Linked DNA regions of Mus musculus. The main gene of each other region encodes a partner of the protein of the gene in region 2 in a complex. Links are inferred from orthologs where the notes say so. Each region holds a gene or a part of one and is shown on either strand. Other genes may lie near its edges. The genes, in order: Cnot8, Cnot9 and Cnot7.

Region 1 (4,148 bases), on a different chromosome or scaffold from region 2:
AAGAACCCCCCCTCCCCCCAAATTCCATGCTTCTCACATGACTAGCACATGCTAGGTCCACCCTCTCCTGAAGGACTCAACGGCTGCTCCTCACATGACTAGCACATGCTAGGTCCACCCTCTCCTGAATCGAATCACAGAACAGAGCAAGGACATGCACTGAACAGACTGAGGGAAGGCAGTGTCTACCTAGCCTAGACAACCCGAACACCTCAAAAGAGGCCAGCCCTGCAGCTAGTCCCATCAACATTGTTGCAGGGAATCCACCGCAGCTACAGTTACTGACTGCCCAGGCCTGGTTCTTTGTGGTGACGGTTGTGGCTTGGTCTAGGGTTTCATCCTCATCACAGTCTTGTGTCTCTATTTACAGATCCTGGAGAGAAACAACAAAGGCTGGGCTTCAGAAACTGTCCCTGACATCGTTACCCCAGAAGCTGGCTGTGCGATTTCACAGTTTGAAAGGCTAGCTCTCATTTAGTCAGTAAGTCCTATTTTGGGGATTTCTTCTGGAATAAAAGTTTAAAATGAAAAGGGCAAAGTGACTGGGAGACGGGATGTCAGAAGGGGGACACCTGCTGTATGCTTACCTACGGCCCCTAGGAGAGGAAGCACCAGGGGAGGGGAGGCGCTCTTCGGAGGTCTTAGTCTTCTTGCCCCGTGGGAAAGCACGAGGTGGCGATACATCCCAGCATGGCCTCGCTACCAGCGAACCCCCTACTCTCCCTGACTGGCCCCTCTCTCTCTGCACTGACCCACAGTGATACCAGGGACACAGCGGACAGCACAGGCCCCGGAGCAGCGCTGCTTAGGCCGTCCAGGTTCTGGGAGGCAGTGCTCAGCTGACCTCATTCATGACTCGGTTTGGTGGCGCTCTCCCACCCCTACCTAATGGTCATCCAGAAGGGGTTCTGTGAATAGATGGTCAGTGAATGAGGGGTTCAGGTTGCAGTAATCGAGGGTCAGGACACCCCATGTGCCCTGCATCATCACCTACAACCAACAGTCGTAATATGCTCTGATGTTAGGAAGTGGGGCCAGTTCTAGATCCCGTCCTTTCCCGAGGCGCGACTCATGATACTCCAGAACCTAGGCGGGGACCAAGTTTACACTGCTAGACGCCGTTTGAGGCCTCAGGGCAAACCTCGTTTTACGCACGCGCCCTCCGCCAAACCCAACTTTCTCGCTCTGCGCCTGCGCAGGGAGGCGGGGCGTAGGTATCTGAGCGCGCACGGGGGGACGGAGCCGAGACCGGCGGGACCGCGCACGCCTGGAGTGACGCGGAGAGTAGGCGAGTCGGGAGGGCGGACGGGTAGAGTGGTGCAACCTCTTGGTTTGGTGCCCATCGTCGGCCGCTCTGGGCGCCAGGACTCACGTCTCCCTGTCGAGCTGGGTTTCTGGAGCGGATCCGGGGCAAGAGGGAGGAGAGCTCGGGGTCAAGGGCCGCTGCCGCCCGCACTCGGCGGGGCCGCCAGCCAGGGTAAGCAGGTTAGGTTGCTTACGGTAGGAGCAGGAGGCGGAAGTGCCTCCGTGGCGACCCATCCTACACACGGGAACACTGAGGCACAGAGGCTACGGGGCTCTCGGTCCCCGGAGTCCAGCCTGGAGGCCTAAGGAATGGTGGGGGAGGCAAGAGGCCGCTCTGCTTGGCTCTTGGGGTGCTGCAGCTTTGCGTGGCAGGGCCGCCGTCGCGGAGCCAGCAAGCTGGATGGGGTGCCGTCTAAGTCCAGGGCTGTGGCCTGGAACGCTCCAGAGGGGACCTGTTGCCATTTCTTCTAACGGGCCGCTGCTTCCTCCTGCGCCCGTCTTGCACTGCTAAAGCCTTTTGTTTAGTCTTCTGGAACAGGGAAGTGAAGCTGATTGTCTCCCAGACGCTCTGGCGCAAACAAAAGCCGACGACGAGCAGGAGACACTCAGTGGAACTGAGTTCTGCACGGCTAGCAGGGAGAGCGTGGTTTCGTGCGTTCGCACTCCTCGCTCTTCAGAGCCCACCTGGGTGCACAGACACCCTGCTCCCAAGTTTGGATAATCAGGAGCGGTCACAACAGATTGCTTGGCAGCCTAGGGTGTGTGTGTGTGTGTGTCAGTGTTTTTGTGTCTGTGTGTGTGAGAACACAGGGCAGTGTGTGTGTGTGTGTGTGTGTGTGTGTGAGAACCCCTTTCTTTCCCTTTGTAGTTTCAAATGTAGCTTGGTTTGGGGATCGAGTTTTAAAGCCAGCCTGTGAGGCAAACATTGCATGGGATCAAAATTTTCCTTTAAGGGAGAGATCGCACAGCTGTTGATACACTCAACCCTCTCCCCCTCACACTCATAAAAATAAATCTTTAAGGGAGAACGCAGCCTCAACCTCCGAACCTTCCTGAAGAATTTTGAAGGATAATTTTTTTAGGGTTTAATGTTTATTAATGTATGAATTTATAATTAATATCACGAGTGTGTTGGTGGAAAAAATAGGCCGAAAAGGCGTCAACATTCTCAGGGGCTGGAGTTACAGGCATTTGTGAGCCAATTCACATGGGTGCTGGAAACCAAACTCTGGTCTTCTGGAAGAGCAGCAAGTGCTCTCAACTGCTAAGCCATCACTCCAGCCCCATTCTTCTTTAAGCTATTATTATTGTTATTGTTATTATTTATTGTGTGTACACAAGTGCCAAGTTGTCCATGTGGAAGTCATATTTGGGGTTTATGTTCTTTTCTTCTATCAAGTGAGTCTGGGGCTCAAAACTTAAGTTGTTCTCAGCTTGGCAGCAAGTACTGGTTGCATACCTCCAAGCTGCCTCCCTGGTCAGTTTAGTTTGCTTTCTTTCCTTCTAAAAACAGGGTCTCAGCTGGCGATGGTGCTGCACGCCTCTAATCCCAGCACTTGGAGGTTGAAGCAGTTAGATCTCTGAGTCCAAGGCCAGTTTGGTGTGCACAGCCTGGGCTACATAGAAAAACCTGTCTCAAGGGCGCACACCTTTAATCCCAGCACTCAGGAGGCAGAGGCAGGCGGGTTTCTGAGTTCGAGGCCAGCCTGGTCTACAGAGTGAGTTCCAGGACAGCCAGGGCTACACAGAGAAACCCTGTCTCAGAAAAAAAAAAAGAAAAAAAGGAAAAAAAAAAAAAAAGACAGTTGTGAGCTGCCATGTGTGTACTGGGATTTGAACCCAGGTCGCCTGGAAGAACAGTCTTAATCACTGAGCCATCTCTCCAACCCTGTCTCAAAGGACAAAATGGAACAATGAAATAAAAGCAGGGTCTTCTCTGATTGTAGCCCAGACTGGCCTCAAGTTCCTGGGGATTCTCCTTTCTCAGCCTCCCGAGTGTGGGACTGCTATCTTACTTCTCAGTATATATAAGTCAGGATGTCAGTTTTTTCTTTGAGTTGTGAAATTCATTATTGTTCTTCTGGTTGAAACCTCAGTAATGAGGTTACCCCAGGGGCTGTTGTTACACAAATAACTGTACTTGAAAACAGAATTCTGAGGTATGGGAACGAGAGGGTGATGAAGAGAAGGTATCTTGGAGCCTGAGCTTCTTGGGTGGAAAGTGGAGGGAGGGCGTTAGTCTGTGTTGAATTGCTGTGTTCTCTCTTCCCTGTGGCCAGCATGCCCAGGAAGTTCCTTTGCTCAGTTAAATGTGCATTATATGGTCTCTCTCATATGCCTGGGAAGGATTCCTTGTGGATCTGCCTGATGATAGAGTCCAAAGCCGAGGCTGATCTGGAACAATCTTTCTTCTTCTTCTTCTTTTTTTTTTGTTTTTTGTTTGTTTTTGAGACAGGGTTTCTCTGAATGGCCCTGGCTGTCCTGGAACTCACTCTGTAGACCAGGCTGGCCTTGAACTCAGAAATCTGCCCGCCTCTGCCTCCTGAGTGCTGGGATTAAAGGCGTGTGCCACCACCTCCCGGCTCGCTTGATGGCTCGCTCTTTCTTCCTTTCTTTTTTTCTTTCTTCCTTCCTTTCTTTCTTCCTTCTTTCTTTCTTTCTTTCTTTCTTTCTTTCTTTCTTTCTTTCTTTCTTTCTTTCTTTCTTTCCTTCCTTCCTTCCTTCCTTCCTTTCCTTTTTCTTTCCTTTCTTTCCTTTCTTTCCTTTCTTTCCTTTCTTTCCTTTCTTTCCTTTCTTTCCTTTCTTTCCTTCCTTCCTTCCTTCCTTCCTTCCTTTCCTTCCTT
Region 2 (3,648 bases):
GTAACAGGTTGAGAGTCAAGCCCATGGGGATGGAAGGGGGGCCCTGACACTATCAACAAGTAAAAAAACATTTCAGTGGCAACCCTGTAGTTTCCATAGACCTAAGAAAGTGTGTTAAAAAGGAGAGGAGACTGAGCCAGCAGAGTCCAGCTATTCATTTTAAATCTGAAGAAACTCATTCAGCTGCTTCTACAATCATGAGGAGATGGCACTATGAAAACTCACGCTAGAGAACGGGGTCAAGTAGTCTACCATTTGGATCCAGGCGCTTACTCCGTTTGAGAAGACACCTGGAAATTATCTTCGAAGACCTGAATTTGAAGAACTGCGATCCCTCCTGCCCCAATACAATTCTCTTTTAGGGAAGGTTGAGTAAATTAAGACACCTGCTTTAAGTCTAAGTGGTAAAAAAGGGGAAAGCGCTGAGATGTGGGTAGGCTAGCAGCTGAAGCCAGAACAAGGTGAGTGTCCTCACAGCAGCCAGGTATGGGAGGGAAAGAACAGGAGCAGAGAGCAGGCACAGAGTTCCTGCTTGGCCTTTGGCTTTCCTATTCCCTTGCCTCCCATTCCACCCAACAGCCTGATGCAGCTATCGGTCTGTCAGAGGGGATGCAATGCCCAGACCAACTTTTTATTGAGCTTATGCAGCTAACAGACTTGTAAACAGTGCCAACTGACAAAGTTTTGCTGAGAACTACAGCTTGTGTCCATTAAACACATCTCTCTCTTTTGAGATTAAAAACAAAAATCCAAAGTAAACAAATACTGTAAGAGAGAATTAAGAGACACACCTTAAGTTGTCCAGGAAGGCAAAGTTTAAAAAAAAAAAAAAAAAGCCACATGGCTTGGTCCCCGGTGCTCTCATGCCTAGAGTGTTGCTGCCATTACCACGTTCTCTCCTCTCTCTACCAGTGGCTAGGTAGAGGTTCAGGAGCAGGGTCATCTTGGGCATGCTGCAAACACAGCATTTGCTGGTGTTGACACCCGCCTGGGGTTGTGGTAGCAGACTGCTGTCAGGAGCCCAATTCCTGGGAGCAGTAGGGGGATCCAGGACCTCCAGTCAGCCCACACACCTCAGCGGGTACCTTGCCCCTTTTCTCCAGTACAGTTCAGCACTGAGGTTGTCTATTCCCAGCAATAAAACCTGAGCTGTTTTCCTCATAGGTTCCACCCTCACTCCCCAGCAAAGGGGAGCAGTGAGAGGGAACGAGGATCACTGAGGGGGCAGGGGAATCCCCCGGGGATCGGTGACCTGGCCCTCTTGCAGGTTCTTCACCAGTTGTGCAAGCCAGCGTTTCGTGGTGGTGTCGTCTTTTAGCACCTGGGCAAAGGTTGTGTCCTTCAGCTGGTCAGGGAGGCACTGTCTGAGTGCTTCACGTGCCCTACATCAGAAAGACAACACATAAGCCCATATTTGGGAGCTGGGAAGACCCCCTTTCTTAGATATAAATATACAATTTCCTAGGAATCCATGGCTATCAAGTTACACCATGAAACTATTAGAATCTTTAAAGCAGGTGTTATGTAGCCCACAAATATTTTTACCACACCTCAATGCAGAACTTCATGCAAAAGCAAAATGGAATAATATGATGCAATATTTCACTCCAAACTGTTCTGATTTAATGATAAATACTGTCAAAATACCATTAGACATAGCTTATGAGAAATGAAATTATTTTCCATACAGAGCTGTTCTGAACAGTTACAGCTCTTATACTTAAACAGGTGTAATTTCTAATAAGTATATTCCAAACTTGGGAGGTACTGAAAAACAGGACAAATGATCAAAGAATAGCTAGGGCTCAAATAACCCCACTGGCTAGAGACAAGCCACTTGATTCTCAGGAACTCAGAAAGCACTCCATTATGTGGCTTAGCAGAATCTGAACATGTAGCTTTCATCATAAATTATGGATTAGTAGGAGAGAAGGTCAAACATTTCTGAAGTGCATTACATCTACAAAGTGCAAGATTCTGGCAGAGTCCTTGAACCCACCAAGAAAAAGTACTAAGTTCAACAGCTTACAGGAAGCAGAGAACTGCAAGCTAAAAAAGCCTCTAGGCTACAGGACTTTGCAAGAGACCTTTAAAGTACTCTGATTACCTGGAGTAGCCACAGAAAGCCCACACCACACCAGCCTCCCTTGAAACTGCTTGGGCTTTCGGGAATTTCAGGGTAGGACAGAGTTACAACAGGAGGAAGGTCTAACTAGTGCATTTTAAAGTCAGAATTTTAAATTTTAACCGGAACTTAAGTTTGTCTTAGACAAACTAAAGTTATATGCGTTCCAATTCTCAAGACAGAAGATCTGAGCTATAACACTGGAATCCATTCATGATACTATTTCGACAAAATCTTCTAAGTCCTATTAAATCTTTACCTGGGATTATCTGAGAGTCGAAGGTAACATCTTACTACGTGCTTCAGCAGACGGGCTGACGGTTCTTTGGATAGCTGCAGGACCATTTTACCCTGTTTTACCCAAAACAAAGGTAGGGGGGGAAAAGTCACAAAGTAATTCGAAATGACACCAGAGACCAGATCATCTAAGAATCATTATAAAGTTTCCGTTACCCCCCCCCCCCCCATTTGAGAAAGGGTCTCTATATTTCCTGTAGTCTTGGCTAGCCAAGCACTTGCTATATAGATCAGGCTGGACTCAACCTCAAAGAGATCTGCCTGCCTCTGCTACCACAGCTCTGGGATTAAAGACACACACTACCATTCCAGCTAGTATTTTTGGGCTAGGACACTACTTCTTCATTTGGCTGGTGAGAAACCCATGCTGCTGCTCCAAGCCCACAGGCATCCTCTTGCATCCCTCTGCCTTATAGATACTAGGATGACAGGCATATACCATCGTACCTGGCCAAGTGTTATTTCTAGTTAGAAGACAAAGTTTTGGGTCAGTAACGAAGGGACTAAGTTTTGTGATGGAAGTAAACTGCAAAGAGAGTAAAGGAAAGAACTCACCAAGATCATGGCAACATGGGAAAAACGCTCATATGTCTGACATATATAAGCTAAACCAGTGTCATCCAAGAGGATCTTCTGGAGTATGAATGTGGCAACCTGGAGCAAAACAAAGATGAATGATGCCTAAAGAGCTGCTCAGACTTATCATTTAAGTGACTACTGTCCACACATCTAGGCATGATCAGCACTCAAAGCATAACATAAGCGGAGTACCCTGCACATTTTACATAACTTTATCAAGCATCACACAATCAGAACAAATGTTATTGTACTGAACAAGTACTATGTCAGGATTTTTTTTCTTTCTTTCTTTTTTTTTTTTGTTTTTTTGAGACAGGGTTTCTCTGTGTAGCCCTGGCTGTCCTGGAACTCACTTTGTAGACAAGGCTGGCCTCCTGCCTCTGCTTCCCGAGTGCTGGGATTAAAGGCGTGCGTCACCACGCCTGGCATCAGAATTTTTTTCTAAAGGCTATTTATAGGCTTCACTTTTCCTATTGAGTCCACAAAGTACCTACCATTATTCTCATTTTATATAAAGGGGAAAGCCCTAGATAATTACCAGGAGAATTGCATAAAACTTGAGTCCAGCCTTGGCTACACAGTGAATACCAAACCAGCTTGGAACACAGCTCAACCCTTTCCCTCCCCACCCCAAGCTCCTATTTTAA
Region 3 (3,648 bases), on a different chromosome or scaffold from region 2:
AGCATGTTTGTATAATTAATTTTCTGCTTTGTTACTACATTTTGTGTATTTGTTATAGCTAGTCTATTTTCTTGGGTTTTTTTGTTTGTTTTTTTTCGAGACAGGGTTTCTCTTGAGACAGGGTTTTTCTCGAGACAGTGCGCCACCACGCCCAGTGCTAGTCTATTTTCTTGATCCACACAATTATTAGCCCTAGAAGGCGATATTTCAATGTCTTGCACCTCTATCCCTGGCCCACTTCACGTCTAGCTTAATTTTTATAGAATCCAGTAATTGGCTGGTGGTTGTATTAAATTCAGCAAATTTTAATTTCTTTGCTGTCATATTGACTTACTATTTTTTTCTTCCTCTTCCTCCTCCTCCTCTTTTTTGTTAGCCTTAATTTGAATGCTCATGCTAAACTAATACATAATTTTACTATCACAATTTAAAAAGAAATGCATCTCTGTGGATAAACAGGAATTTCTTTGTATAGCATACCATTCAGTAAGGTATGCTTGTCCATAATTAGAGCTGAAACTTTCTGTCTCGGCAGGGACCGTTATTTTTATGAGCAGCAGAAATTGTTAGTGGTCATTTATATCTCAGATAATAAGGAATAGCTGCATTACAGAAAGGACAGCTTACAAGAGAGAGTGTGACTGTACACAGAAAACACCTGTGCTAACTAAAGAAATGACATTAATGAGACTTTTTCTTTATTTTGGTGTCTCACTGCTTTGATTGGAAAGCACAGGGTACTTTTTAACTTTTAAATCAATCTTTCATGCGGGTTGAGTTTAGTAATGTAATGCTATAAGTGTAGTTTCATATGCCTACTCCTTAGGAATCAGTTTATGATTTTTCTTTTCCTTGGAAATAGCCCAAATATTTGCCTGAGTTTATTATGAGTTATCAGTACAGGATAGTAATTTATGGATAAATTTCAAGAAAAAGTAATTTAAGTTTATAGAATATTGAGGTCTGATAGGTAATGCTGTTCATGCTTATAAAATAAGCATTGAGTGTGAACATACAGAATTTCATTGTCATAGAATTCTCTGACTTGTATCAAAAATTTCCTGAGAGTTTATGGGTTGTATTTATGACCATTTAGTAAACAATTATCAATTATTTTACAGGACACCGAGTTTCCAGGCGTTGTTGCAAGACCCATTGGAGAATTCAGAAGCAATGCTGACTATCAGTACCAACTGTTGCGGTGTAATGTAGACTTGTTAAAGATAATCCAGCTCGGACTGACCTTTATGAATGAACAGGGAGAATACCCTCCAGGAACGTCAACTTGGCAGTTTAACTTTAAGTTTAATTTGACGTAAGTGGGAAGTAAATATATAACCTCAGTGTCCCTGGAAATGTACTAAATACAGAAATTCAAAAGTTTAGGCTTATTATTACGAGGCAGTTGTAATTGCTTCACAGTTAGAAAGATAATAAAAACTTTCTAATTTCAAAGACTTTAGTTATAGAGATGTTATTTTTAAAATATGATGGTCATTTTTATGGAAAGTTGTGAACCTGTATTTGTGTTGCTGTTTCTGTTGTGTTTGTCATTGTTTAAGGTGCTGCAGATTAAACCTGGGGCCCTAAGCATGACCCTTAGGGTATTGATTTGACTTTTACATTTTGCTGTTGTTTTGCTTTTTTGAGACAGTGTCTCATTACATAGCCTAGGCTGGCCTGGAACTCTCTATGTAGACAATGCTGGGCTCAAACTCCCAGAGATCCATCTGCTTCTGCCTCCCAAGTGCTGGGATTAAAAGGCTTGTGCCACCACACATAGAGCTTTCACATTTGTTTTTATGCCCAACTTGGAATACATATGATTGGGGTGGCGCTTTGCTGACTAAGCAAGCGGGTACCACTTAGCTACAACTCCAATCTACTGTGACTTGTTAAGATAGTTATTATTCCTGTGAAGAAACTATTATTACAGTCATACTTTGCATTCTAAATACTCACCACGTGTACTAAGATATTTCTTGGGAAATTGGGGCTATTTTCTTTTCAAATTCATTTTCTCTAAAGGGCTATTCCAATGCAATCCTCAACCTCTTAATCTACATACAGAAAATGTAATAGTATTGAAGCTTGCATATTTACCAAAACCTGATGTCTACCTCAAATCTTGGGTATAAACTATTTCTTTAGTTAAAATAGTTCTACATTAATTATTACAATCTTCATAGCTGAGGGAACTGCATGAAGGTGAGTCCATCCTTTTGACACAGCATCATTGGCAAAGTTTATGCTCAAGAACCATGCATTTGGATTTTTAAAATTTATATATACACACACACACACAATGTTTTAAGTAAGTTTGCCACATTTATAACCATTGTGGAGTTCATATGACTTCTGAGCTTCAGGATATAAGCGCCTAGTATGAGGCAGGGGCATATTACTGCTGTTCAGGTATGGAAATAAAATATATAGTATATTCTGTACTATGTTACAATATTGTGGTGCCCTTCTGCTTGGTAGCCTATATTTGTATAATATGATCAAACATCTGGTTTGAAAAATAGCAACAGAAAATGATAAGAAAATCAGTGCTAGTGTAAGAATTCTTACATGAGAATGAGAATTCTTTCTTCATTCCTATTTTTTGTTGAATATGTACAGTTTTATGTTAGACCTAATGAATAGCAGGACTGATGGTTTTAGAAGGCAGTAGTGTAAGCGATGCAGTTGTGTATCTTGAAAAATGTGTTGTTACTCCTCTAAATAATCCTGATAGTATTTTAACATCTAGTACTGTCCTGACAGTCCCTATAGACCCTAGAAAGGCTAACGTGCTCATCCCCACTGTCATTTCATAGTGCTTCATGAGTACTACAGCTTTGGAACAGGTGAAAATGTCCTCCCATGCTCTCCTCAAATGATTACTGTGTTCTTTAGTTTTTTCCTATTTTAACTTCTTCAGGGTTCTTTTTACCCCTCAAATTAATCATCATAGCATTGGGTGTTGTTTGGTTTTTTTGTTTTTGTTTTGTTTTTTTATATAAGATACTCAGTTTGTGACTGGGAGCTAATATCTCAGGGTATTAGTTGGTAAAGCTGGTAGTCTTCATTGCAAGGATGGTAATTTTTGTAGCAGTGGCTTTTCCATTATTCTCCAGGAACATTTGTTTTTTTCTTACTCAGACAAAACTAGTTTTACCGCCAATTTTGCTACTATTTCTACTAATGGTAACATCATAGGATGGTAAAGAAAAGAGTGCATTGGCTGGTGAGGTGGCTCAGTGCTTAAGTGCCTGCCATCATGGTGGATGATCTTAAGTATGATGCTCAGGACTCACATGGTGGGAGAGAACTGAATATGTGTCATATGATGGACATGTGCAGGCGCGCGCGCGCACACACACAATGAAAATTTTAGGCTAAAATTTTTAAGAACATAGTGAAAAATGTTAATGAGAACAAAAGCCTTTGAGAAGATAAAAGTAGTACTGCATAATGTGGGAAGCATCATAATAGCATCTTAGACGTGTTGAAGGATGGTGGAAATTGACCTTGTTGAATGCCTAGAAGGAGCGTGTTAGTGCACTAGGCTCTGCAGCACAGTGTTGGTGAACATTGTCCAACATCATAATAGCCTAGTGGTTTTCATCTCTCTGCCTGTTGTCTGTGCTTGCGAAAATTTTT

Evidence for each region.
Region 1: Cnot9 (region 2) and Cnot8 share a complex: the UniProt entries of both Homo sapiens proteins name them as parts of the CCR4-NOT complex. The link is inferred for Mus musculus from reciprocal best matches to the Homo sapiens genes CNOT9 and CNOT8.
Region 3: Cnot9 (region 2) and Cnot7 share a complex: the UniProt entries of both Homo sapiens proteins name them as parts of the CCR4-NOT complex. The link is inferred for Mus musculus from reciprocal best matches to the Homo sapiens genes CNOT9 and CNOT7.

Annotation. Positions count from the first base shown.
Region 1 is NC_000077.6:58,102,732-58,106,879, forward strand, and holds the start of Cnot8 (CCR4-NOT transcription complex subunit 8), read left to right. Parts: upstream 1-1,238; 5' UTR 1,239-1,477; intron 1,478-1,497; exon of another isoform or gene 1,498-2,063; intron 2,064-4,148. UniProt on the Homo sapiens protein: Has 3'-5' poly(A) exoribonuclease activity for synthetic poly(A) RNA substrate. Its function seems to be partially redundant with that of CNOT7.
Region 2 is NC_000067.6:74,526,420-74,530,067, reverse strand, and holds part of Cnot9 (CCR4-NOT transcription complex subunit 9), read right to left. Parts: intron 3,077-3,648; coding exon 2,978-3,076; intron 2,477-2,977; coding exon 2,385-2,476; intron 1,383-2,384; coding exon 1,214-1,382; 3' UTR 1-1,213. UniProt on the Homo sapiens protein: Component of the CCR4-NOT complex which is one of the major cellular mRNA deadenylases and is linked to various cellular processes including bulk mRNA degradation, miRNA-mediated repression, translational repression during translational initiation and general transcription regulation.
Region 3 is NC_000074.6:40,505,122-40,508,769, reverse strand, and holds part of Cnot7 (CCR4-NOT transcription complex subunit 7), read left to right. Parts: intron 1-1,121; coding exon 1,122-1,315; intron 1,316-3,648. UniProt on the Homo sapiens protein: Has 3'-5' poly(A) exoribonuclease activity for synthetic poly(A) RNA substrate. Its function seems to be partially redundant with that of CNOT8.